7 linked regions of the Cricetulus griseus genome follow. The protein of the gene in region 1 interacts with the protein of each later gene in a pairwise test. Links are inferred from orthologs where the notes say so. Each region holds a gene or a part of one and is shown in the gene's direction. Other genes may lie near its edges.

Region 1 (4,005 bases):
GCTCTCTCCACCCTTCAGCATAACCGGTACCCTGAGGACGCTCCACTCTGAAGGCTTCAGCTTTGGTGGCCTGTGTCCTGCTTTGGGTGTGAACCCGGTGTCTCCTACTTTGTGGAAGGGAAAGTTCAAACTCATAAGCCCGCAAAGAGGCAGGCCCTCCAGGTTTGAGACATCTGTCGCTGCCTGAAGTCTGAACTCTAAGGCAGACCAAGGTGTTGTGTGAGAATTTCCCACTGTGCTTGCTGAGAAAGCCTTTTCCTTCATCTTAAGCCAGTACAGCCATGGAGAAGGGGGTTAGGATAAGGGGGTTCCTTGGTGCACCCCTTTAACTTCCCCCAGTCTCCTTTGCAACAATGACACCACCTCTTTCCTGTGGGTCCTAGGGGAATCTTCTTCACTACCCAGCCCTTTGAGCATGTGCTTCATAGTGGAGGAGGGTGGAGCTGGGGAGTTCTGACTTTGGGCCCGGAGACTGGCATTGGCCAGCAGAAGAGACTGGGAACCCCATTTCCCTGCCCCCCCATTCTTCTTGCTCCTGTTCCAGAGGCAGCTGTGTGGGTGACCTCATCCCACAAACATGCTTTGTTCCTGAGAAAATGGAAAGTGTCTGAGGTTTGGTGGGGGGCTGGGTGTCTGCAGCAACAGCTCTCTGGGCTCCCCTTCTGTTACTCCCCGTCAGGAAGGAGCCTTACTAGGGCTCCAGGGCCTCCTGTTTTCTCACCTTTTCCTTCTCTGGCCTTAAACCCTGGGGAATCAGAAAAAAATAGGCAGAGGCTGTCTGTCCAGATGCAAGCCAAGGACATATCATGACCCTGGGTCTTTGCAGAGCTACCAGCAGAGACACCTGGAATGGGGGGGGGGGCACAGAGTGCTGCCCTCTTTCTGTGTCTCCACTTCCCTTCTGCCTCCCCAGGGATGTCGGTTTTCCCCTTTTTTTCTCCCTCTGGCTGGCAAAAAGCTGACATCTGGCCCTCTGCAGTGCCTCAGCTGCAGCAGATGTTGCAGCCAAGACTGCCCAGGCTGGTGTGACCAGAGACACAGCAGAGGTGGTAGGGGATGAGGCCCAGGGTCCAGCTGGGGAAATTTGGCTGTGTCCAGCTTGCAGGGTTTCCTTCCTGCCTGAACCTAGGCTGAGCCTCCTAAGTGCTTGCTTGGCTGATTCTCCAGGGAGGGGAGGCCCAACTTCTCACACCGCCCTCATCAGTCAAGCATCTCTCTAGCATTCCGCTGTTTCCTGCATCGGTGGGGAGTTGTGGGGGTGGGGGTGGGACAACAGCCCATCCCACCCGAAGCTCCCCAGATCAGAACTCTAGATGAATGTCCCCATATCTAAACTCCTATGGCCATCCCGGGAATGAGGAGGTGAGAGTTCGGTCTATATACAGTAAGGTTGGTGGCCCCCTGTCCTGGCCTTTAGCACCCTAGGGACAGTACAGAGAGTGGAAGCAAACCTCAGGCTGCACTGCGCTGCAGGAAATGAGTCACTGACCCAGGAAAAGCCCCCTCCCCCCAGATCAGCCAGGGCCTAGATAAGAAAACAACTTCTGCTTCCTGATTTTTTCCTGACCCCTTCCTATCCTCAAGCATGCACTGAACCTAAGACTCTTGGGTTCCCACAACAGTCTCCCCCTCCACCCCGACCTGCTTTCATCTCTTCTTTGCCTCCTCTCTTTTTTTTTTTTTGAATGCAAAGAGCTCTTGTCCTGTCTATGCTAGAGCCCTTCTAGGTGAACTCTGCCCCATCTTGTGTTCCTAACAGGGCTTACTCAGCATCACCACCATGAGCGAGGCATTTGACTGTGCAAAATGCAGTGAGTCCTTGTACGGCCGCAAATACATCCAGACAGACAGTGGCCCCTACTGTGTTCCCTGCTATGACAACACCTTCGCCAACACCTGTGCCGAGTGCCAGCAGCTCATCGGGCATGATTCAAGGGTAAGAACCAGACCAGATGGGTGAGAGTAAAGTGCAGACTGGTGGGAGGGGGGCAAGGATAAATCCACCAAGCCCAGATGCTAGTGCCCCCGCTCTGTCTCCCAAAGGAACTGTTCTATGAGGATCGCCACTTCCATGAGGGCTGCTTCCGGTGCTGCCGCTGCCAGCGCTCCCTCGCTGATGAGCCCTTCACCTGCCAGGACAGTGAGCTTCTCTGTAATGACTGCTACTGCACAGCCTTCTCTTCACAGTGCTCTGCCTGTGGGGAGACTGTCATGCCTGGTATGTCCCAGGGCCTCATCCTGGGTTTGGGACCTGTCATCTGAGAAGGGTCTTTGCGTCTGCCCATCTCATACGTGCATGAGGTTTGGTGTAGGTAGAGACCTAGGCATACTACAGGTTCCTGGAACATGTACGGATCTGTTGTGCATGTATGCTCTTTAGAGCTTAATGCACACACAGATTGATGCACCCAGCTGTACACTCAAAAGCTTGGTGAATACCAAAACTGACAAGCTGGAGGCTTAGTGTGTATTAGACCAATAGGCTTATGTGCGTAGCACTGACATACTTGATGCACACACAGGCCTTAGCATGTGTGAAGACCTGCATGCTTGGTTCATATAAGAGCTAAGGATATACTGAGATTCTCAGGGTTGCTGCATTGAAATTTTGTGTGCAGAGATCAAATTGTAGGCTTAAAATGTATGGTGTCCTGCACACCTCATAGGTATGTGAGGACTTACATGTGTAGAAAATGATATACCTAGAACTTGCAAAGGCTTAGCATGTACTAAACCTGTCATTCCTAGGGCATTAGGCTTTGTGTAAGCAGAGTTGCCTGGCTAGTGGGATCTTGCCTGAGTGTTAAACTGGTATTTCTGGACAGGTAGTAGTGGCACACAGCTTTAATCTCAGCACTTGGGAGGCAGAGGCAGAGGCAGGCGGATCTCCGAGTTCCAGAGCAGCCTGGTCTGCAGAGCAAGTTCCAGGACAGGCTCCAAAGCTACAAAGAAACCCTGTCTCAAAAAAACCAAAAGAAAAAAAAAAAAAAAAGAAAGATCCTATGAGGGGGCATGGAAGGTTTAACCTATGTGCTTAGCATGTGCTGAACCCTCATGTCCAGTTTGGGGAAAGAGGCTGGCATATGTAACATAGATGGTGGGAGTCTTACAACTCTACTAGGTTATAGAAGCAGTAGGGATAGGTTGGGGAGTAGAATTGACTGTGACCCTCGGGAACTTGGGACAAAGACTCTAAGTGGGATTCCTGTTTCCCACAGGGTCCCGGAAGCTGGAGTATGGAGGCCAGACATGGCATGAACATTGCTTCTTATGCAGTGGGTGTGAACAGCCTCTAGGCTCCCGTTCCTTCGTGCCTGACAAGGGCGCTCACTACTGCGTGCCTTGCTATGAGAACAAGTTTGCTCCTCGGTGTGCCCGCTGCAGCAAGGTGGGGGCTGGGCCTGTGAATTCAGGGTAAGACCTGTTGTGGGTGGGAATACTCACTCCCCTGCTGATGGGTGATGCCCCCACAGACGCTGACCCAGGGTGGAGTGACATATCGAGACCAACCCTGGCATCGAGAATGCCTGGTCTGCACTGGGTGCAAGACCCCCCTTGCAGGACAGCAGTTCACATCTCGGGATGATGATCCCTACTGTGTGGCCTGTTTTGGAGAACTCTTTGCACCCAAGTGCAGCAGCTGCAAGCGCCCCATCACAGGTGGGAGCAGTGGCGAGGCTGCAGGTAAGAGTATGGCTGTGATCCTGGGTGAGGCTGAGGGGCAGCAGCGCCACCAGTCTGCAAAACTAACCTCCACCTCTCCTCCAGGAGGAGGCAAGTATGTGTCCTTCGAAGACCGGCATTGGCACCACAGCTGCTTCTCCTGTGCCCGCTGCTCCACCTCCCTGGTGGGCCAAGGCTTCGTACCAGACGGAGACCAAGTTCTGTGCCAGGGCTGCAGCCAAGCAGGGCCCTGAGCCAAGGCTCCTGACTCTTCCCCTTTCCCAAACCAAGGGTTCAAGACTTTGGCTCTTTTTCTGAACCACTTTTGGAACCCAGCCCCTC
Region 2 (3,965 bases), on another chromosome or scaffold:
CAGCCTTTTCATTCTCCCAGTAGGGAGTTTCTGGGGCACAAATGTCTCTCTTTAGAATATCTTCAATCCTACCAGAATGGTTATACACTGAAGTAAGCTTCCCTAAGAAAGAAAAATAAGTGTTTAAGCCAAATATATATGTATGCATATACACATATGTACATATGTACACACACTGATATATATATATATATATATATATATATATATATATATCTTTTTATAAACCCCATGGCAATATGTGGAAGGATTCTCAAGGTGACACCTTGTTTAACCTACTCACAGGTGAGTAACCCCTGGTCAAAAGCACACACACCTAAAGTATGGCAATCACATGTAATTCATGATGACACAGTGTTCAAAGCTAGGTTACATCACAGGCTACCAGATCATGAAGTACAGAATCACCATTTAATACAGTTAACACTTACAGGACCTACTTGAGCAGGTGATATTCTATCTGTTTGATAAATATTTATTTTCTATCTATAATAATTGGTTTTTATGCAGAATAATTATTAGCTCATTTTTCTTGTTGATATATATGCTATTTTGTCACATATGTGTTCTGGATTTTGACTTCATACCAAACTTTGAGGTGCTTCTCCTTGAGAATTGTTCAGCTTTTGCTTCAGTAATGTTGATATGATACACAAGTTGGAAACATAGCTCTTCACGTGTTACATCAGTGTAACTGTCAGCTGTGGCTCAACAATGGCTCCACAGAGTTGCCTGGTCTTGACTCCAGGTTGCACTATGTCTTCTTCAAATCTCTCTTCTAAAACTGAGGATTGGCAAGTATAATCTACCTGAGGATTCTTAATGACAAGTTTATTGGGGTGGAGTACTAAGAGCATCCAAACACCCCCACCCTAGACTGGCTTATTTTCCAGACCATTGATCCATGCAGTTCACATGGGCCAAATTCAGCACCAATGGGACAAGCAACTGTAATCCACAGTGATCATTCAAGATAAGAACAAAGATTCAGAATGAAATTATCTCATATATACAGCCTGAAAATATAACTTTTATCTTTTGAAATTAGTATTGTGAGAGATAACTGAAATGATGTAGATAAATTATCTAAAATAAATTTATCTCCTGGTGGTGAGATATAATAAGCTGCCTGTTTTCTCTTTGTATTTCATAGGTTTTTTACATCATGTTTGGGAAGAAAAAGAAAAAGATTGAAATTTCTGGCCCATCCAACTTTGAGCACAGGGTTCATACTGGGTTTGATCCACAGGAGCAGAAATTTACTGGCCTTCCCCAGCAATGGCACAGCCTGTTAGCAGACACAGCCAACAGGCCCAAGCCCATGGTGGATCCGTCATGCATCACACCGATACAACTGGCTCCCATGAAGGTATGCAAGGATTCTGTCTTCAGGTTGACTTCAGCACCAGGCTCTGACTTGATTTAGTGTACTATCTTTATAAACTGGGTAACTTTAGCCACAGTTAGCCTTCATTTTGCAGCACATGAAAGGGAAATGTTGTCTTTGAATACTGATTATTGTAAAATTTAGATGTAAAATTAAGCTACAAAATGAATTTTTATTTCTGTCAATAATACCCAGCTCCTCTGATAATATCAGCAATAGATCTAATCAAATATTTTACTGGACATATTTCATTGTCTTCTATTTGCTCTCAAAATATTTATACTTACTATTATAAAATACAACGATAACAGATTTCAGTAGCAATAAATCATATTTATAAGCATACACTCAAATGTATGTGTCTATATGTATGATTTATACAGTAAATGTGTGTATCTTCACATTTATCTCCATAGTCTAAGAAAGAGATATTTCATATTAGCAAATAATTTCAGTCATTGAATAATTAACCTGAACAAACAGCTGGTAGATTTTTGATAAGGAATGTTCATGACTCATTAAGTTTCAGCTATGTTCAGTTACCAAAAAGACAATTCAGAGGTTGCAGCTTCTTCTTTACTGGAGGGTAAGAATTCTGTAGTCTATCAGGCAGTTGCCCACAAGCTCTCCATGGGAGTAAAACAGTATAGATATTTAGCAGAATAATATACATCAGATCACTCCAGAGTCTTCCAATCTCAACAAAGTATGAAACTCATGTTCCTCTGTCATTCATTATACTAGAACGTATCTTTGCTATGAGGATACTTACTCTGTGTGAACATTAATAGTGCCTAAATTGTGCTAAATTATATATAAAGTGATTCTACAGGATGTGAACAAAAGATATAGTTGATAAATGATAAAGGAGTCTGTTATCTCTTCAACTGGTTGAATTCGAATAGTGATCCAATGAAAGAAGTGTGTCGTCCCTTATTTTTGGACAGCAGGCTTCAGGAGGATTTACCTGAGTAGAAATCTACCACATGAGCCAGTATTCCTTGATGGGTCATGACTCCCATTGCCCCTGTTCAGAAACTCTAGCTTATCTATTTTGCCTACAACTTGTAAGAGTACATCTGTCCTTTGCAGACTCATTTATGCCAGGGCTTCTCAAGGTATATTGAGAATCACCTGAAGTGTCTTGCTAAAACAAATGTTCTAGTTGGGATTTCTATTGCAGTGAAGAGACACCAGAGCCACACAAATTCTTATAAAGGAAAACATTTAGTTGGGGCTGGCTTACACTTGAGAGATTTAGTCCATTGTCATTGGACTAAATTGGCTGTAATGGTACTGGAGAGGTAGCTGAGAGTTCTACATCTGGATCCAGGGGCAGTAGGAAGACAGGGAGCCCTTAGACCTGGCTTGAGATTCTGATACCTCAAAGCCTGCCCCCAATGACACACATCCTCCAACAAGACTGCACCTACTCCAGTAAGGCTGTACCTCCTAATAGTACTGCTCTCTATGGGCTTATGGGAGCCATTTTTATTCAAACCACCATAACACAGATATGGAGCTCTACCCCTGTATCTGATTCAGTAAAACTGGGTTAGAGCTTCTTGGTGTTCATTTCTAAATAATATCCTGCTGGTGCAAAGGCGGCTGGCCTAAAGAGATTTTGAAAATCTTTATAAAAGTAGTTATAAAAACTTATTTACATAGATGATATAATCAGAATGACTTTACACTGGTTAAAAAAAAAGTTCAAGATATCAGAATCTTAGATTTATGTTGAGTTGACTTTCTTGACCCCAAACCCCAAGCACATAAACTGACTGAAATCATCTGAATAGTCAAAGGGGAGTATACCTTTCAAACATTTGGCAAGGTCAGGAAATGAAGGTCAGTGATATGACCTGCACTTAGCATAAATTCAATGGGTTCAATTTCTAACAGCTCCTCTTCTTCCCCCACCAAGAATGTTTTTCATACTTAACTGTTTTGTCCATAAGAGCATCATAAGCAACATTACCCAAGTTGTTTCAAAATTAGCTGTGTTATATGCACATCTTAACGTTTTCTTCCTGTTTCTTTTTAATGTTAATTATTATTATAGCAATAATTCTAAATATTTTGATATATTTAAATTTTATTGTGATGTCATACTATATAACTATCTTCGAACTTCCTATTTATTTAAGATTGAGAAAAATTCTCATTCATACAGAAGACTTGAGTTTCGTTTAAATTGTAACTTTCTATAACTTGCTCATTTTTCTATAGAAGAATTCTACAAAGTATGTGCTATAACAGATAAAATTATCATGAAGATATGAGTGCTTGGTTTTCATAGTACAGTCTGGAACTCTTGGGAAACTTAGGTTCTTTGAGAAGTCTACCTGAGGTTACAGTAGGATTTTTCAGAAAGTAACATATATTGTAGTGTCATAGTTGATGCCTAAAATATCATGAACTCTCTACTCTTTTGCTTTATAAGCTTCTTATTTGTGTGGTGGTGGCCCATGCCTTTAATTCCAGCACTCAGGGGACAGAAGCAGGCAAATCTCTAAGTCTGGGGCCAACCTGGCCTACAAAATGAGTTCCAGGACAACCAGGGCTACACAGAGAAACC
Region 3 (3,500 bases), on another chromosome or scaffold:
AACCTCCCTTTCCTTATCAAGAAGGACGCACAAGATGAGGTACACACCATGTAGGGCAACTCTTACTATGCTTCTCAAGTTGGAAAACTTTGGCTTTTGGTTACTTTTGTGGATGTAAACTATCCCTCCCTGCTCCATTGTCAGTAGCTTCATGTTAGCCTAGAGGTTTGGTTGAATGGTGTCCCACAGGTAAATGTTAAAAGATCTCTGCTTATCCTTGCAATAGCTTTTCAAAGATTAGCAAATTTTCTTGTACTTTTTCAAGTTGAAGACAGGAAATTGCTAAAGAAATAGTATTAGTGAGTATGGGATTCAGAATAGTGAGATGCTTGTAAGGAAACATTGCAGTTGACTACAAATTGAGTAGTAACTGCTATGAACCGAAGTTTCTGTCCCTCTTGGTCCTGCATTCCATTAGTCCCAAATGAACACACAGAGGTTTATATTAATTATAAACTGTTAGGCTGATGGCTCGGGCTTCTTATTGGCTAGCACTCTTGATTATTAACCCGTTTCTATTAATCTATGTATCTCCAGGTAGTCTTGGCTTACCATAGAATGCCCAGGCATCCTATCTTCCCGGTAGCTCCATGGCAACTCCCTTGTAACTCACTCCCTGCGTTCCTCTTCCCAGAATTCTCCTAGTCTGTTAGCCCCCACCTAGTTACATCCTGCTGTCCATTGACCAAACCCGCTTTAATCACCAACCAATGAGAGAAACATATTCACAGCATAGAGAAGGACATCCCCCATCAGTTTCTGTGCAGAAGACATGCCTGTATACCTTAAAACACAAAAGAGCTGAAAATTACTATTGTAGCCTTTGAGATGTTGATTTTTATAGAAAGGAATGAAAAATTTAGGTCTCATTAGAAAAATGCAACAGAATGAAACAAATGACATTTTTTATTTTATTTTTTAAATTTTACTTATGAATCGTTTGCATGTGTGTCTGTGCACTATGTGCATGATTGATATCCATGGAGTTCAGAATAGGGCATTGGATCCCCTACAGCTGTAGTTAGGGTTTGTGAGCCACCATGTGGGTGCTGGGAATTCAATCTGGGTCCTCTATAAAAGCAACAGGTGTTCTTAACAGCTGAGCTATCTCTCTAGCCCCAAAACCAGTACTTTGTTTTTTTTAAGACAGGGTTTCTCTGTGGCTTTGGAGACAGTCCTGGAACTCGCTCTTGTAGACCAGGAGGCTGGTCTCAAACTCACAGGAATCCGCCTGCCTTTGCCTCCTGAGTGCTGGGATTAAAGTTGTGCACCGCCACCACCACCCAGCTAACCAGTACATTTTTAAGAGACTCCAAGAATGAAAAATGGGATGGAGGAAAATTTTAAAGATTTGAAATTTATCCTAGAGAATAAAAGGCCAGAGTAAAAGGGCATGCCCATTTTAAAGCATAAATGCCAAAGAGAATGAAGCAGTGGACACTCTTGTCAATCATGGTCTCATAGAAACTCACGATGCAAGCAGGTTTGGAAGAATCTTAACACTTGGCAGATACTTACTGAATACATCTGCATATCAGGCACTGTTTTATATCACAGAAATAAAGCTAGGAATACAAAAGTATCTTCATGGGGCTTACTTGCTAGTAAAGAACACTTAGTTAACTATGTAGAAAAGTTGCATGTGGTAACTCACACCTGATTTCCCCACACTAGGGAGGCTAAGGCGGGAGGGTTGCCATACTTGAGGCCAGCCTAAAAATGTGTGTTTGTAGAGTTGTAGTTCATTCTCTCTCCTCCCCCTCTTTGTCTCTGTTTGTGTGTATGTATACATATGTAAGTATACATGCATGTGCTTAGTTGTTAATATATGTAAATTAAAAAGTAATCTACCATGTCTCTAGAATCGATTTTTCTTGCAATAATAACTGGATCCAGGTGTAAGAAGTACATATAATCCTCATCTTAAACCAGAGGCAAGGGAACTAATAGGTTATTAGGGATGCATAAACCAATTTGAGGGGACTCCTGTTTTCCAAAAGTGGTATACTTAACATCAGAAAGGAAAATTACAGCAGTAGACTGAATTAGATTTCCTTTAATGAGTTCATAATGATACCAAAAGTATATCAATCATTTGTAGTAAGTGCTGGGTCAGTAACTCATCCTGCCTTTTCATTACAACCAAATGTGCTGGCACACAGTAATATCATGATTTTGTATGTGGTGAGCATCCTGCTAGCCACAGCCACCAGTGGGATGTAAGTGAAGGAACAGTTGGTAGAGTGTAACGTTCTTGTTTGTTTTGTAGGTGCTGCCATGCTTACTGAGTCCCTTCTCTCTTCTCCTCTATCATCTTCCTTCAGTGACTGTCACCAGCCTTCTGCAACAGCTAATGAACCTACCTCAAAGTGCAACTGCACCAGCACCCTCCAATCCTCACCTCACTGCTGTGCTCCAGAACAAGGTTGTCTTGTCCGTTAGTGTCCTTAACTTATGTGGCATCTATATTGACTTAGGAAAATTAGGACTACTGTAGCTTTATGGAATTTGGGGCATCAAGCATCCAGTCTTTTTTACAATTATTCCGGTCCTCTTTAACTGTAGATTCCCATACTCATGAGGTCCCTGCTTCAGGTTAGTTCTGAAAATTAAAACTGTCTTGACATGAAGAACAAAGCTGGGTATGGATTATTAAAGTGTAGATTAACTACCTGTCTTCTTTGTTAGGGCTTTTCCCAAGAAATTCTAGCAAGCTTCTGATGAGTAGCAGTGACCAGGGTTTAGTCACATGGCATACCTAGCTGCAGGAAGGATGCATACAGCTTTCAGTTATGTCATATTAAAGATCCAAAGATTAAGGCAAAACTTGGTGCACTTGTGTGTAACCCCACCACTCAGGCCAGCCGGGCCTATGTGAGTTCAAAGCCAGCCTAGTTTACATATTGAATTCCAGGGCATAACCCCTACCTCCAAAAAAAAAGGGGGGGGGAGCTTTTTTTTCTTTTTTAGTTTAAAGCCCCTTAGAGGAAACCTAATAAGGAAGGAGGATCGTGAGTTTCTAAACAGGCCATGTCAGCTTGCCTGCCCTTTTCCAGCATTATGATCCTGAGTATTTGCTCAGCCGGTTTCCTGATCTGTGTTATGCAAGTGTGGGTGCAGGCTTTGCCCAGTGTTCTGGTATTTAGATGATACCTGGTAGATAGTAGGCGCTTGTTTAGGGCCATGACAAGCAATAGAGGTGAAGGCTCAGGACCTCTTCCTCCTTTTATCTGCCAACAGTAACAGGCCATCAGAGATAGAAAAGCATGCCTGTATCCCTCAGGATATAGGGAGGCTCTCAAGTGACCAGTCATGGTCTTCCTGTTACTTAGTCACTCTTAATTTGGAAAGAGCAGTAAAAAACCAGGAAGTCATACGAGATCCTGAGCTGATGAAAATTTGCTTGCAAATAGCATGAAGGGAAATTTTGTGGGGGGATTATCCTCTATAATATAAACCCAGGAAAGTAGAATGAAATCCCAAAATATACATCTATTTAT
Region 4 (3,500 bases), on another chromosome or scaffold:
GTTCCTGGAAGGGAACACTCCACAGTGGACCTAGCAGGTAGTGATAACTGGGTCTTGTGTGAAGCCCTCTGTATCTATAGGTGCAGCCCTTCAATCTGTTTAATGCAGGGCAGCACTTACCCACAACACCCTAGTTCTCCAGAGATCATGCATAACACAGGTAATGGAACATCCTTGGTCTCTCCTCAGAAGGTTATTCAGCTATTTGGAGCCACTTACAGTGACTCCTTCATTTCCTCATTTAAAACCATGGTCTTTTTCTCGGGACGTCAGAGAACCATATGGGAATTGGCACTTGGAGGTTACCCTGGGGAGAACATATCCACTGAACTCTTTGGCATGTCTACAAGACCCACTTCAATGATCAACGGACAGCTGTCTGCCGTTTCTGGCAAGATGGTTCCTCTTCTTGTCCAATTATTAATTATTCCCAGGCTTGGGTTCCGCCTCTCCACGAGGGTGCTAGAGCCAAGAAGCTACATATCCACATTGTGGTTTTGAGTTGAGCAAACATCCTGCCTTGGTCTCCCTCTTTATATAGAACTCTCACCTTGCCTTTATCATATGGGGGCCTGCCTGCACTGATTGTCATTGGTCAGCTAAGCTATGACATCCCTGAACCACAGCTGGGCACACAGCCGAATCTGATTACCACCCACTGGGCTTTTTCTCAGAGGACTGAAATGCGTCATAACAATATAATAATAGCCCGAGATCCCATGCTGAGTCATTCCAAATGAATGGGGCCCCTGTGTTTTGCAGGATTACTGCTCTTCAACTCATAGGAAAGATAGCTTCCATCATCAAGGTTCCTTAGCAAATTTATCTGTAGCCCAGAGAAGTCCACTGCAGCCAGGCAGAGAGGATGGCCTGCTCATGGTGCCCTCCTTCGCTTTGAGCTGTCTGTTTTATTGGGAGGAGTCACATCACTGGACCCCAGGGCAGTCATGGTAGCAAGAAGAGACAAGAAGAGACATAATACCACAGACCTAAGGTGTTTAAGGGACTATTGATCACCTTCCGTCTAGGTGATCTTCGTATCCCCCAGTCTTGAAAAGCCAACAGAACCCAAGGCTACCTTGAAAGGTAGCTGCACCTTGCTGCCCAGATGGCAACTATCAATCAAGATGGAGCCTTTTGGCCTGAAGAGTGGCAGGGAAAGCTACTACCTTTCCTCAACACCCCCTGCTGAAGGGAAGTTGGTGCCCACACCCCTCCTTCCTGGGGGCTTAGTCCATTCTCTGACAGGTCCACCTCAGGCCTCAGGCCTCCTGCTCTCTGCCAGAATCAGATAAACCATGAGCTTTAGAAACGTGGATAACTCTAAAGTCAAGATCCTCCTGCCTCAGCCTTCAGCGTTTAAGGTTAGAGGTGTGTGTCAGCATGCTTGCCTGGAGCTGTGTGTCAACAGTAATTAGTGACTAGGGTATTGGGGTTTACATTAGGGTGCATAAGGTGGAAACAATCTCTTGCCCATATAGCTCCACAATGAGCCTGGAAAAGAGTCTGGATTTCTGGTCCCTCCACCCTTCCAGGCCTGTCCCGGATAGATCTGGGACTGAAGCACCCACCATCTTTCTGCCTGCTCTGGGGCTCCTTTGGGCCTCAGACCAGGACTGGAAAGAAGGGGAGTTGGGCTGGCTGTGAGCTAAGACTTGAACCTATAAACCATGTTGGATATGTGTGTAGTTAGTGGTGAGTACTTCTGAGACGAAGAGGGCCTACCAAATACTTGACCCAACCCCGGACAGGAAGTAGTAGTTCTCCATTTCTAAGCAGGGTACCTCAGAATCCTGGGACTTTGCTCACCTCTGGGCCTGGCCATTTCCCTTTCAGGGATTGCTGTTTGCAACATCCCATCTGCTGCAGTGGAGGAGACAGCCGATTCCACTGTCTGCCACATCCTCAATCTGTATCGGCGGAACACATGGCTGTACCAGGCCCTACGAGAAGGCACACGGGTTCAGAGCGTGGAACAGATCCGTGAGGTTGCATCGGGAGCTGCCCGGATCCGAGGGGAAACACTGGGCCTCATCGGTTTTGGTATGTGCCTCTTGAGACAGACTTGGTTCAAGGGAGTGGGGGTGGGTAGGTCAAGGGTCAAGAATAATAAGAGAACTTGACCGGTAGTGAGATCTGGGCCTGTTATACAAGAATCTGTCTATGTTGCTGGCCAGTGGTACAGCAGGAGTGCACCCTCTGCTGTCACTGGAAAGGACTGTGCTTGGTAAATCTCCCTGAGGCAGAGGGTAAAAGTTTGGCTGTACAAGGTGTGTTACTACTGGTGAGTGTGTGTAACTAGTGGTGAGCAGCAACCTGGGTCATAGGTCCTGAAGGCTCTTAAATATAGATGCCCCCCTCCCCCCAGCAGTAACATGAAATCACTTAAAGATTCAAGCCTGAGGGTAATGCCAAGCTGTGGGCTTGAAAATCTCTTGTGAGACTAGGACAAGACATAGTCTTTCTGGACTTGGTTGTTGCCATGGAGATATTTGAGCAGAGACCTGGGAGTCTCCAGCAAGTGTGGTAGGGGACCGAGGAAAGTTTAAGCGGTGAAGTGAGATAGACACATGCTACTGCTGTTATCCACACAGACTCCAATAGGACTCCTAGCTGGTTGCGATCACTAACTCACTCCATAACCTTAAGGAATTGTTTGGCTTCTTTGCCTCCATTTCTCGTTCTGTAACTAGAGCATTAGGTGGAAGCAGGGGGATACATGGCTGCTGCCTCTTGACTCTAAGGCAGCATAAGGAACACATGGAAAAGGTTGATTCTGGCTTCCAGAAATTTTTCTGATTCGTATCACCTTTAGCTCAGAGCTGGCTGAGGGTCAGGGCTTCTAAGACAGTTTTAGAAGAGGGAGGATTTACTGGATGACTCCAAGAGTGCTCCTCTTTCTATAGAGCTTCACTCTTCCCCTCCCCCCCCCAACCCCCGACCCCAAGCCTAGGCCTCTGGGGCAGTCAGAGTCTGAGTTCAAGATGCTGGGGAAGGCTCTGTGGTGTTTCACAGGTCTTCAGATATGCAGGTACCATGTGTGAGTACTATAGCACTCTCTGCTAGTACCCTCCTGTGCTTCCTGTGGCCATCCTATGAAGCCCTTCTGTGGCCTGGGATGGTCTCTATCAGGCTGTAGAACCTGTGGGCGGCTCTGAGCCAGCCGGTGAGAAGCCCCTCTCATTCTGGAGTCCCTGTACCCATCACATGTGCTTTTGTAATTGAGTGTTATTTGGCTGAGTGCTGACTTTCAGCTTTCCCAAGCCCTCCCCCTGGCTTCCCTACATTCATGGCTGCTGCAGTCTCCCTGGCTTCCTGTATAGCTCTAATGGTCTATGGCCCCCAGGAACTGTAGTGAAGAGACAGGAGAAAGGATGTTTGCGGCTGCCCAGAGCTGCGGCCAGCCTGCTGAAGAGCAACAAGGGAGGAGGCTCAAAGAAACCTGAAGCTGGGGCTGGACAAAGGTCCCTCACACTGCCTGCCATACTGATAAAAACTGT
Region 5 (4,021 bases), on another chromosome or scaffold:
AGGTCTGCTCCCTCCTTAGAGAGTTCATGTACGGTGGTCCACAGTCACTTCTCGGATCCAGACAGTTGCTGACTTTAGTACCTGTGAGACAGAACACATGAACTCCTTTTTCTTTCTTCATCTCTTTTTTAAAGTCAGTGCCTCACTCTGTAGACCAACCTGGCCTCGAAATCACAGATATCCATCGGCTTCCACCTCCTGAGTATTAAAGGCGTGTGCCACCACAATCTACTCTCGTAAATACTAGTCTCTAAAAAAATGTTTCCCATGTTAGGAGCCAAGAGTTTACACACCAGAAGTCATATCTGAAGTCCTACAGAATCTCTTGAGGCTGAGTTGGCGACTGTCTACTAAGATAACCTAGTTGTCAGTGTCCATTTTCTTAGAACATTGTGTGTCCAGCGCGCTGTTTCCAGAGTCCGAAGCCTTTCTACCTTCTGTGGAGGTAAGACAATCTGTGTCTACTGCATGCACTGAGGAGCTGAGTTCGGAGTAGTTATTTTCTTAGGCTTCCTAACATACTGCAATGGGAGCGCTTCGGTATAGCGAGGCGTCGAAATCCCTTTTGCTGCTACAAAGTACTCTGCGTGGGGAGCGAACAATTGAAGCCTAAACGGAGATAATTCTTCATCCTCGGGGGCTTCTCAGATAGTCAGTTGTCTCCCCGCGCTGCCCAGTCGTTGGGATGCGGTTGTGTAGGGGGGTGGGGGGGGGAGGATTTCACACTGGTTTGGGGTGATGTCACACTGGCGGAGATGACATCCAGCAGCGGGAAACGCGACAGCCACCAGACGCCGGTAAAACACCTCGGAGACTGCTGAGCGGAGGGGGCGGGGAATCCGGTCCCCCTGACAGGATCCACGCTGGCTCCCCACGGAGGCCCATCCGCTGCTGCGGCCCGCCGCCCGAAGCAATGACTCCAGCTCTCCAGCCCCTCCTCACTTCCGCCCCAGTAGGTGTCATGGCGCTAGGTGGCTGAATGGTTCCGGCGGGGCGGGGCCGGCCGGATGAGGGCGGTCGCTCGGGGCTCCACTTGTCGGGTCTGGCGACAACGGCAGCTGCGAAGCGAAGGGCCGGGCCGTGGCCCCGGACGGCAGCGGGAGGCCGAGGCGGGAGCGCGCGGCGCTGAGGCGGCGGCGGGCGGCGGAAGGGGCCGGGCGGCGGGGCAGGCGGGAGGCTGGCGAGGCTCCGGCCGCGGGACGGGCGCGGGGACGGCTCCGGGGGCGGGGGCCGGGGCCCGGGCCGGCTCGTGCGGGGGGTATGATGACCCGGCGGCGGGGCCCCGGATCGCGTCTCCTCCGCCGCCTCCTCCTCGCGGCGGCCCCGACTCGCGGCTGAGAACTACACACACCGGCGGTGAGTCAGGCCGGGCGAGGGGATGGGGGCCCGGGCGTCCTGGGGTGGGCGCCCCGAGGTGGGGCCGAGCGGGCCGCGGACTCCCCTGGGCGGCCGGCTTGCAGCGGGAGCCTCTTGGGGCAGGCCCCGCGCGGCCCTGGGCGCTGCGTCCCGCCGCCTGGTCGCGAGCCGGCGGGACGCGACTGGGTGCCCGGAAAAATGGGCAACTCCCCCTGCCATCCTGCCACTTTCCTCCCGAGCTTGCCGCTGTTGTCCTCAGGTGACAGGGGCCCGTCTGGCAATCTCCCCACACTCGGGTTCCCCGCCCCTGCCCCTGGCTGCGGTGGCAGGCTCCCTATGTGAAGCTTGTGCGTGTGCATGTCACCCCACTGCCTGTCGCTGTAGCTCGGGCATATTTGTGCCTTTGGGGACCGGGAAGCCGTGTCTAGGGAAAATCGTGATGGTCGGGTTGTGTGGAAGCTTTTCTGTTCTCTCCGCTCACGCTCTGTAATCGTTGAGTTTGGAATTTGTGATGGTGGTGAGGCCCTGTGGGGGACCAGCCCACTTATATATTTATGTTTTCAAGGCAAAGCTAGAGGTCTTTTTCAAAAGAAACTTTTGCAGCCCGTCGTGACTTTCAAAGCCCAAAACAGCAACAATTAAAAAAAAAAAAAGCCCAAACGTTAAAGGAAAAGATGGAAACAACGAAAAATTCTCCGGTAGGGCCCAGACTATAAACAGCACTGTGGGGTGGAGTCCCCCTTTTTTCTTGGGAACCGAGACCTGAAACTTGGTCTCCAGGAGCGTTGGTCTAACCTCCAGTTTGTTGTGGTGACGATGAACCATGAGCAATGGCCTGTGTTTATGCTGGGCGCGCTTTCTTTCCTGTTTTGGGGATGGGACTGGGACTGAAAGGGGGGTGGGGAGGATAACCCCAAGCTCCAGTAAGTTAATCTTTATGTAACCACTGACTCAATTGTGGATACTCATTTTAAGATATTCATTCTTGTCTATTAGTGATACTTTGAGAAGTCTCAGTGTAGTGCAGCCACATACTGGTTTCAAGCGTAGACTTCACCTCCCCAGACCGCCCTTTATCTTGTTTCTTAGTAACTAATGAAAACAGCAGCATGGCTTCCTGCACTAGATGAAGTGGGGTTAAATTAAGAGCCTGATACCCTCAGCAAAACCTACAATTTTGTTCTTATTTGTGTAAAGCTATTTTTATTTTTGATTTATGGTCTGTAAGATTTTTGTTGTTGTTGTTGCTTTTGGTTAAGATTACAGAGAATGCAAATTATTGCCACCTTTTTTTTTTTTATTTAAAAGCCTAAGATTTTCTGTAAAACAATTAAAAAACCTAACAACTCATTTTACCTAATTATTGTTATTCAGCTGGTTATTTTGGGTATTTGCATGCAATTTTCTTAGGGCTCAGTGTTGCCTTATGATGAAGGCTTTAAGATACTTGCCTTGTCTTGTTGGTAAAGTATTTGAGATTGAAGCTGGAGGCTTCCAAACTGGTAAAGCATTTAACAAAAATGGTGACTACTATCTTGTATGTGTGTTGGTTCTGCTTGGCTAGTAGTTTGTGATAGCCTCATGGACAGTTGATCTCTGGACGTTGTATTTTACAGACTTTAGAGCAAGCTTATTGGTAATGAGATTTAAAATCAAACCAGATCTTCCTCCTGAAAAAAAAATATGTCAAAGTTCACATTTGTCTGGAAAACAGAATTCTTTCCTTCTTTGTTTTTGTTTTTATAAGCATAGATCCACCAGTGGTTTGTTGGTGGAAATCAGTGAGCCAAACCTGCCTGTGAACTTCTTATACTTGAAACTTGTGCAGCTTGTTAGTTATGTATTTTAATTGGTTCTTTTGTAATTTGAATAATTTCATCAGCCTGATCTGTCACCTGCCCTTTTCTTGACTGTGTGACAACAATATGTTTTTGGTGGGCCTTCCCCCCTACTAGTTCCTCTTCAGTTTCTCCTTCACTACAGTTCTTGCTGTTTTGCACATAAGTTATTAAGATCATTTTTCTGAGTGAACACTTAATTTTCTTCTTTTTGTTTGTTACTAATGCTCTTTGGTTGACCAGGCTGACCTCGTACTCCTGAGCTGAAGGGATGGTCCTGCGACAGTGTTACTGAAACTTCATGGTGCCTGGTGTGGGTCTACTTTTGACTTTGATTGTGTCTTTCTTTTTGATTGTAGAAATTCAGCTAGTGTATGCATAATGTATTTCTGTAGGACGTATTTTGTTACATTTATTCAGAGTGTGTGTGTGCGGGAGAAGACAAATTACAGGAATTGGTTTTCTGTCATGTGGGTCCAGGGGTTAGAACACATGTTTTCAGACTTAGCAGCAAATGCCTCTAACCATTGAGCCATTTTGTTGGCCCTCTAGTGCCTTTTATAGATAACTTTTTCCTTTTTGGTTGCCGATCTCTTCCGCAGCCTTCTAAGGGTATTGAATAAAACATTGTATTTCTTTGGATTCTTTAAAGGCACCTGGTACCATGTTTTCCTTGTTGCTTAATGAAAAGAAACCAGGAGACCTGAATTCTTTGCCAGCATTTTGCTCATTAACTCTGTGTAAAACTTATTTGGCCTTTTTGAGTTTCTGTTTTTCCAGATTAGAATTAGAGGATTTTAGAAAGACTCCTTTTAAAGTCTGTTAGC
Region 6 (4,174 bases), about 370 Mb from region 1:
TGGGTGCTGGGAATTGAACCTGTGTCCTATAGAAGAACAGCCAATGCTGAGTTATCTCTCCAGTCCTCCCTGTGTGTGTGTGTGTGTGTGTGTGTGTGTGTGTGTGTGTGTGTGTGTGTGTGTGTTCTGGGGTTTGAGCAAAAGGCAGGCCTCATGCATGCCATTGTCACAACTCCAAATTCTATGAATAAATTTAAATGCCAGGGAAACAGAGACCTTGTATGTCATGCTTATCTCTTTCAGCAAACCTGGGTCAGTGTCTGAACATGCTCAATAGACTTTCTTTTTCTTTTTTTTAAGACAAGGTCTCTTGGGCTCAAACTCACTATGTAGCTGAGGCCATAATGAGTTTGAACTCCTGACCTTCCTGTCTTCACCTCTTAAATCCTGCAATTATAGGCCTAGGCCAGGAAGCCTGGGTTTTTTGTTTTTTGACAAGGTCTTGGGTGGCTTGATCATTGTTTAGCCCAGGCTGGTCTTGAACTGACAGCATTCTCCTGCCTCAACTCTCAAGTTCACAGATCAAAAAATATTTGTTGAGCCGTATGGTTGTGGCCCCAAACCTTTAATCCCAGCACTCTGGAGCTAGAGGCCAGTGGATCTCTGTGAGTTTGAAGCCAGCCTGGTCTACAAAGCAAGTTCCAGGACAGCCAGGGCTGTTACACAGAGAAACCCTATCTTGAAGAAAAGAAAAACAAAGGCCTAGAATCCTTCCCCCTTTTTTTTTTTCACCGCCCCAGACAAGGTTTCTTTGTTTACCTCTGGCTGTTCTGGAACTCACTCTGTAGACCAGGATAGCCTCAAGAGATGCGCCTGCCTCTGCCTCCTGAGTGCTGGGATTAAAAACTGCCATCACTGCTGACTTCAGAGGCCTAGCATCTTTTCAACAAAACCTCCGGCCCAAAGCTACTTTGTAGTGTTGCATGCTTTAATTCAGTATTAGGTAAGTAGAGGCAAGTGGACCTCTTTGAGTTTTGAGCCAGCATGGTCTACATAGAGAGTTGTAGTCCAGTCAGGGTTACAAGGTGAGACCTTGTCTTAAAAACACAAAACCAAAAACCAATACCAGCCAACCACAGCAGGTATTTTCCTTTTCGTTTTGTATTTTCACAACAGCTGTTTTTCCATCTAAGATTCACAGCTTTTTTGGCTAGGCTGCACATGGAAAAGTACCTCTAGGACCCCGAGCACCTTTTTCTTTATGAATGAACCGGCTCAGGTCTACGCATGTGCAGCTCCCAAAATTCCCGCTCCACGTGAGCCCACTGGTCCCTCCTTGTGGGCGACTCCGCCCGCCCTCATTCTAATTGACCAATGGGGAGCAGCCTGGGGGCGGGGCCGGGAGCCGCCCAGCCGCGTATTCCGCCCCTCCCCCGCCCCTGGCGCCCGGCTCCCTTGCGTAGAGCCGCAGTGTTGTGATCACGTGGGCTGCCCCGGGCGCGCGGCTTGTTTTGATTTCCTTTCCCTTCACCCGGCTTATCTTTGGTGAGCCGCGGTCCTTCCCGGGGTCCCCTGCCGCCTGCACTCCAGCTAGTGTTCGGGCTCTCTTGGTCCGCGCTCCTAGGAGCCCCTCGGAGCGGCGTCCTGTCATGCCTCTGGTGCGCTACAGGAAGGTGGCCATCCTGGGGTACCGCTCGGTAGGTGAGTCTCCGCCCTCCCGAGAGCACCAGCGGTGGCAGCACCGTTGCTTTGTGTCCAGAAGAGGCGCGCTGTCGCGGGAATGTGACTAGAGGAGCCAATGTGGACGGGGAAGAAGTCGTGTGGAGGGATGCTGGAAAAGGAGCACTCAAGGGTTAAAGTGGACCGGGCTGTGGTTGCATCAGTGGTCCCTGAGTTACTCTGGGAACAGGGGTGGGATCAGCATTTGAAGGCGTGGTGGAGGTCTGCGCGAGGCAGACACTTGCAAGTGTCCTTGGGCTGGTGCACTAGATCCTAGGGAGTCCTGGATCTTCCAAAGGGTGAGGTGGGGTGGGGTGGGGCAGGGAAAGGCTTCCTATGGCAGTGCTGAATGCATCCCAGGAGCCAAACTGCTGCGGAGTCAACGCGTAAGGATGTTCGTAGTAGTAGTCCAAGGGGAAGCATTGCTTGGAGCTGGGGGTCTTTCACTGAATGGGAAGCTGATTTGGGATGCGTTTTGGTCCTGGCCACAGTCCGAAAGGACAAACGGTGTGAATGTAGGTGGATGATTATATTACAACAATCTCTGGTCCTTAAAGGGAAGACATCTTTGGCCCATCAATTTGTGGAAGGCGAGTTCCTGGAAGGCTACGATCCTACAGTGGAGAATAGTGAGTAATGTTCTTTAGTGTGAAGGAGATGGAACCTAGATAGACTGGGTACCCTCTCCAATTACATAATTTGATATTTCTTTGTTACCAAGGGGCTGATTTATTTATGTGTTAATCATATCAGTTCTGGGAATCCTGTTCTGTGAGTGTCTAGGGCAGTGGTTCTCAGCCTTCCTAATGCTGTGACCCTTTAGCATTTAACTGCAGTTCCTCATGTTCCCCCACCATAAAATTATTTCATGGCTACTTCATAACTGTAATTTTGCTACTGTTATGAGTTGTAATGCAGGATATATGATATGCAGGATATATGATATTTGACCCTCCAAAAGGTTGTGAGCCACAGGTTGAGAACTGATGGTCTAGAGAGTAGAATTTGTAAGATTTTAGTCCAGGATAGTATAGAATCTTTACTATACTAAAGATGAGGACAGCAAGAACCCTAGCATAACTCTCCAGATCCTGGAAAGTTCCCTGGAACTAGTCTGTCTCTGTTACTCCCAGGGTCAGGAATGTAAAGGAATACACATCACTGGTCCTACAAAGCACCTCACAGTCAAGAAGTTTTCCTCTTTGTTTTTCCAGCTTACAGCAAGACAGTGACTCTTGGCAAAGATGAGTTTCATCTACATCTAGTGGACACAGCAGGGCAGGTACCAATTGGGGTAGGGTGTCCAAATGTTGCAGTTCCCCCTGTATAAAGTCTTGTGGTCTGTGTGTTTCATGTGTGATGTAGTATGAAAAGAAAAGTATTTTAGCTATTAACAGTGTACAAGGCTCATTGGAGCTACTTTATAAATACTTGTTGAATGGGAGCAAGGAATGTCTCTGAGAGGGTCACCTGTATGTTATCCCAACAGCTTGTGCCATTTGAATGGTGTGGCTCTTAATACTCATGTTTCTGTTTCTTGTCAGGATGAGTACAGCATTCTGCCCTATTCGTTCATCATTGGGGTCCATGGTTACGTGCTTGTATATTCTGTCACCTCTCTGCATAGGTGTGTGACTAAGATTTTGAGTGGGGCTTGGAGGACTCAACAATAATCCTAGAACTGAGATTAAAGCTCTATCTCTTATGTTTTGAAGCTTCCAAATCATTAAGAGCCTGTACCAAAAGCTACATGAAGGCCATGGTAAAACTCGGTAAGTGGCCCCAGGAAATAGAATGTGGGAATGAAGGTGTGGAGGAAAGCAATCATGGGGATTCTTCCAGGAGGCTGGCCATGGATCATGCCTGGCTTGTTTGGGGAATCATCTAGCCTTGCTGTAGTTAGACTAGTTGGGGTCCATAGAGATTGGGGAAAGGACTCTTTTTTTTTATTATTAATTTATTTTTTACATTCCAGGAAAAGGGTTCTTATAATCATACAATAGTAACTGCTGTTTCATCACAGGCTACCTGTGGTGCTTGTGGGGAACAAGGCAGATCTCTCTCCAGACAGGTGTGTAAACCCCTGTTGCTCATGGCAAAGGAAAGTAAGTTGTACTAGGGATCAGTCAAGCTGTAGTCCTGCCTGCCTCTGTTTGAGACAGGATCTTCACCATGTAGTCCAGGCTGTCCTTTTAAGTCCCTGTCCTCTTGCCTTTCTAGCAGTGCCAGCGGAGATTGTAGGGGTGGGTCACTATGTCTAGCCATTTTCCCTCTTTTCATCATTACCTTGATGGTTACTTAAGAATAACTCTAACATAAAGCCATAATTCCTATTTCAAGCTTCAGTCTTACATTTACCCATCATGCTTTTGTTTACATGTATTTTTTTCTCACCTCACCCTCATCAAACCTTGGGGGAGGGGTGTGAAGCATCAAGAGGAAATTAAATCTTAAAGAATTTTCAGACAAAAAAAAAAAAAAAAAAGAATTTTCAGACAGCTTGCAGGCATTGTTT
Region 7 (2,746 bases), on another chromosome or scaffold:
AGCATGCTCAAGACCCTCGGTTTGATTCCCAGGGCTACATAAACTCCAAATCAGAGATCCTCCAGCCACTGCCTCCTGAGTGCTGAGATTAAAGCATGTGCCATTATACCCAGCTTGGTTCCAGTCTTAAACATGACCTTAGCCGCATAGCATCCTCACGATGGCAAATATGTTTTATCCCCCAGTTATCCTTTTGGCTCAGTGTGTCCGGCTAGCCTCTTTATTGTCTTGAGTCCAGCCTCCAGGTCTCTCCTCCAGCCTGGCCTCCGGAGGAAGGCCTGTGGGATCTGGTGGGACAGGATGGACTTCTGAGCATGGCCTCTCGTTATTTTTCCTACCTCAGGGTCCCGTTGTGCACACTGACCACAGTGACCTGATTCTGGATGAAAAGGAGGCTCTGGAGACAGCGGTGAGTATGGGGGGAGGAGATCGCTATCCATCACCGAGTCTCCACCTCTCCCCACTTGCTCTTTTTTTAAGCTTGATGGAGTCAGGGTTCCACACTTGTACAGCCAGATTTGGTCTTTCTCCTGCCACCCCTGCAGCGCTGGGAATTACAAATTAGGACTTCAGACCTCAGCACCATACCTGGCTGCTTCCCTGCTTCCATCTGCTTTTGATTCTGTTGCCTTAAGACCTACCTTTGCCAGGTGGTGGCGCACGCCTTTAGTCCCAGCAGAGACAGAGGCAGGAGGATCTCTATGAGTTTGAGGCCAGCCTGGTCTACAGAGCGAGTGCCAGGAAAGCCATTACACAGAGAAATCCTGTCTTGCAAAGAAAAACAAAACAAAACAAAAACTACCTTTAACTCCTCCTGGGCCAGCTCACAGATCACAGCTCACAGGCTCCAGAGTTCAAGTTATCCACTACTAGCTCTTGTAGACCAGGCTGGTCTCAAACTCACAGAGATCCGCCTGCCTTTGCCTCCTGAGTGCTGGGATTAAAGGCGTGCGCCACCAACGCCCTGCAAGTTATCCACTGTTGTTTTGGTCTCTAGCCCCGTTCTTTGTTCTTTCCCCATCAGCCCCGTTTCGTGCTTCTAGGTGCCTCTTTGACTGCTCTCTACCAGCTGGTAGCCTTCCTCCCACTTGGTCCCACCCTAACATCTCATGTTTCCCAAAGACAGTTCTGCTTTGAAATCCTATCTTAGGATACACGCATTGATTCCGACCCTGGCTCCCATTCTAAAGCCCCCTCTCTGACTTTTCTTTGAGACAGAGCCTCATGTATCTCAGGCTAGCCTTGAACTGACTGTGTAACCAGAATGATCTAGAAGCTGGGTCGACGGTGGCGCACACCTTTAATCCCAGCACTCGGGAGGCAGAGGCAGGTGGATCTCTGTGAGTTCCAGGCCAGCCTGGTCTCCAGAACGAGTGCCAGGACAGGCTCCAAAACAATACAGAGAAACCTGTCTTGAAAAACAAACAACAAAAAAAACCCAAACAAACAAAAAAGAATGATCTAGAACTCCTGATTATGCTCCCGAGTACTGGGATTAAAACCATATGCCACCACACTGAGTTTCTGTAGCGCTGTGAATCAAACCAAGACAAGCACCCTACCGACTGAACTACATCCCTCTTGTCTGTATTTGATCGTACTTTTCTCTTGACCTGAAGCCAGCCAGCCCTCCTGCCCTCTCTCCCCCCTCCCTCCCTTCCCAGTCTCCCTCCCTGCCCCTCCTTAACTTCAGCCAGACCTTGCTTGTTCTAGGAAGCCAGCGCTTCCCCTGTCTCTGCCCAGCGATTCCTGTCTAGGATTTGCTGCTCCTGCTGTCTCTGGTTTCTGCCACCACACCTCTCTCTAGGTCTGGCTGTAGCTCCGTGTGTCTCTGCATCCATGATCCTTACCTTCCTACACCCTCACATTCCATACCAAGTCTCACTTTGTCCCCAGGATCCAACCAATGGTTACTACAAGGTCCGAGGAGTCAGTGTGAGCCTTAGCCTCGGGGAAGCCCCGGGAGGAGGCCTCTTCTTGCCACCCCCCTCTCCGATTGGACTTCCAGGGACTCCTACTTACTATGACTTCAAGCCACACCTGGACTTAGTACCCCCCTGCAGACTGTACAGAGCACGGGCCGGTTACCTCACCACCCCCCATCCCCGAGCTTTCGCCAGCTACATGAAGCCTACATCCTTTGGACCCCCGGATTTGAGCTCTGGGACTCCCCCCTTCCCCTACGCTACCTTGTCTCCACCCAGCCACCAGCGTCTCCAGACTCATGTGTGAAGACATCTCTCTAACTGAAGAGTCTTGAGATCGCCAACTTGCCATTGTGTGCTGTCCAGCATTCTCAGGAAATCAGAGCAAGTTGATGACCTACTCCTCCAAAACTGGACGCCAAAGGAGGGAAACAGCCGTCAGGATCATTGATGCCTAATAGGCTCAGCCAAAGGGGATGCTCCAAGTACGAGCAATGTGACCATGTGCCTGTTTAATCTCCTGGGAGAGAGACATTCAAAATGGTGACTAAACTCTTCGCAGGGGGACAAAGGCAGGAAGTGTAGGGAGTTGGGGACACGGATGGAAGGCATCTGTAGCCAGTAGAAAAGGTATTTGAAAATAACCATCTGCACCAAGAACAATGATAGCATAAGACAAATTAAGGTAAGAGAAATAATTCCCCCCACCCAGTCCTGACTTTCCCAGGAGGGGAACTTTGGTCAATAAAAGTATAGCCAATATGGCTGTTCATTCTATGAGAACTCAAAATGACGGCTGTCTTGATTCCTTCCTTAAAGAC

Evidence for each region.
Region 2: the proteins of Fhl3 (region 1) and Pak5 interact in a two-hybrid assay, tested with the Homo sapiens proteins (2 studies listed by BioGRID and IntAct). The two-hybrid records come from large-scale screens. The link is inferred for Cricetulus griseus from reciprocal best matches to the Homo sapiens genes FHL3 and PAK5.
Region 3: the proteins of Fhl3 (region 1) and Patl1 interact in binary tests that used the Homo sapiens proteins (3 or more experiments, as listed by UniProt). The two-hybrid records come from large-scale screens. The link is inferred for Cricetulus griseus from reciprocal best matches to the Homo sapiens genes FHL3 and PATL1.
Region 4: the proteins of Fhl3 (region 1) and Ctbp2 interact in binary tests that used the Homo sapiens proteins (3 or more experiments, as listed by UniProt). The link is inferred for Cricetulus griseus from reciprocal best matches to the Homo sapiens genes FHL3 and CTBP2.
Region 5: the proteins of Fhl3 (region 1) and Hipk1 interact in binary tests that used the Homo sapiens proteins (3 or more experiments, as listed by UniProt). The two-hybrid records come from large-scale screens. The link is inferred for Cricetulus griseus from reciprocal best matches to the Homo sapiens genes FHL3 and HIPK1.
Region 6: the proteins of Fhl3 (region 1) and Rhebl1 interact in binary tests that used the Homo sapiens proteins (3 or more experiments, as listed by UniProt). The two-hybrid records come from large-scale screens. The link is inferred for Cricetulus griseus from reciprocal best matches to the Homo sapiens genes FHL3 and RHEBL1.
Region 7: the proteins of Fhl3 (region 1) and Kirrel2 interact in binary tests that used the Homo sapiens proteins (3 or more experiments, as listed by UniProt). The two-hybrid records come from large-scale screens. The link is inferred for Cricetulus griseus from reciprocal best matches to the Homo sapiens genes FHL3 and KIRREL2.

Annotation. Positions count from the first base shown.
Region 1 is NC_048595.1:28,358,427-28,362,431, reverse strand, and holds the start of Fhl3 (four and a half LIM domains protein 3), read left to right. Parts: upstream 1-1,205; 5' UTR 1,206-1,317; coding exon 1,318-1,362; intron 1,363-1,759; coding exon 1,760-1,936; intron 1,937-2,043; coding exon 2,044-2,218; intron 2,219-3,218; coding exon 3,219-3,388; intron 3,389-3,473; coding exon 3,474-3,684; intron 3,685-3,768; coding exon 3,769-3,917; 3' UTR 3,918-4,005. UniProt on the Homo sapiens protein: Recruited by SOX15 to FOXK1 promoters where it acts as a transcriptional coactivator of FOXK1.
Region 2 is NC_048599.1:42,473,759-42,477,723, forward strand, and holds the start of Pak5 (serine/threonine-protein kinase PAK 5), read left to right. Parts: upstream 1-1,165; coding exon 1,166-1,369; intron 1,370-3,965.
Region 3 is NC_048596.1:48,669,268-48,672,767, reverse strand, and holds part of Patl1 (protein PAT1 homolog 1), read left to right. Parts: coding exon 1-39; intron 40-2,269; coding exon 2,270-2,425; intron 2,426-3,500. UniProt on the Homo sapiens protein: RNA-binding protein involved in deadenylation-dependent decapping of mRNAs, leading to the degradation of mRNAs. Acts as a scaffold protein that connects deadenylation and decapping machinery.
Region 4 is NC_048596.1:67,842,629-67,846,128, forward strand, and holds part of Ctbp2 (C-terminal-binding protein 2), read left to right. Parts: intron 1-1,836; coding exon 1,837-2,043; intron 2,044-3,500. UniProt on the Homo sapiens protein: Corepressor targeting diverse transcription regulators. Functions in brown adipose tissue (BAT) differentiation. Isoform 2 probably acts as a scaffold for specialized synapses.
Region 5 is NW_023276806.1:53,160,682-53,164,702, forward strand, and holds the start of Hipk1 (homeodomain-interacting protein kinase 1), read left to right. Parts: upstream 1-1,221; 5' UTR 1,222-1,356; intron 1,357-4,021.
Region 6 is NC_048595.1:395,350,090-395,354,263, reverse strand, and holds the start of Rhebl1 (GTPase RhebL1), read left to right. Parts: upstream 1-1,374; 5' UTR 1,375-1,589; coding exon 1,590-1,641; intron 1,642-2,150; coding exon 2,151-2,288; intron 2,289-2,873; coding exon 2,874-2,941; intron 2,942-3,203; coding exon 3,204-3,286; intron 3,287-3,374; coding exon 3,375-3,431; intron 3,432-3,682; coding exon 3,683-3,730; coding exon of another isoform or gene 3,731-3,764; intron 3,765-4,174.
Region 7 is NC_048602.1:5,379,680-5,382,425, forward strand, and holds the end of Kirrel2 (kin of IRRE-like protein 2), read left to right. Parts: intron 1-343; coding exon 344-409; intron 410-1,896; coding exon 1,897-1,935; intron 1,936-2,204; coding exon 2,205-2,246; downstream 2,247-2,746. UniProt on the Homo sapiens protein: May regulate basal insulin secretion.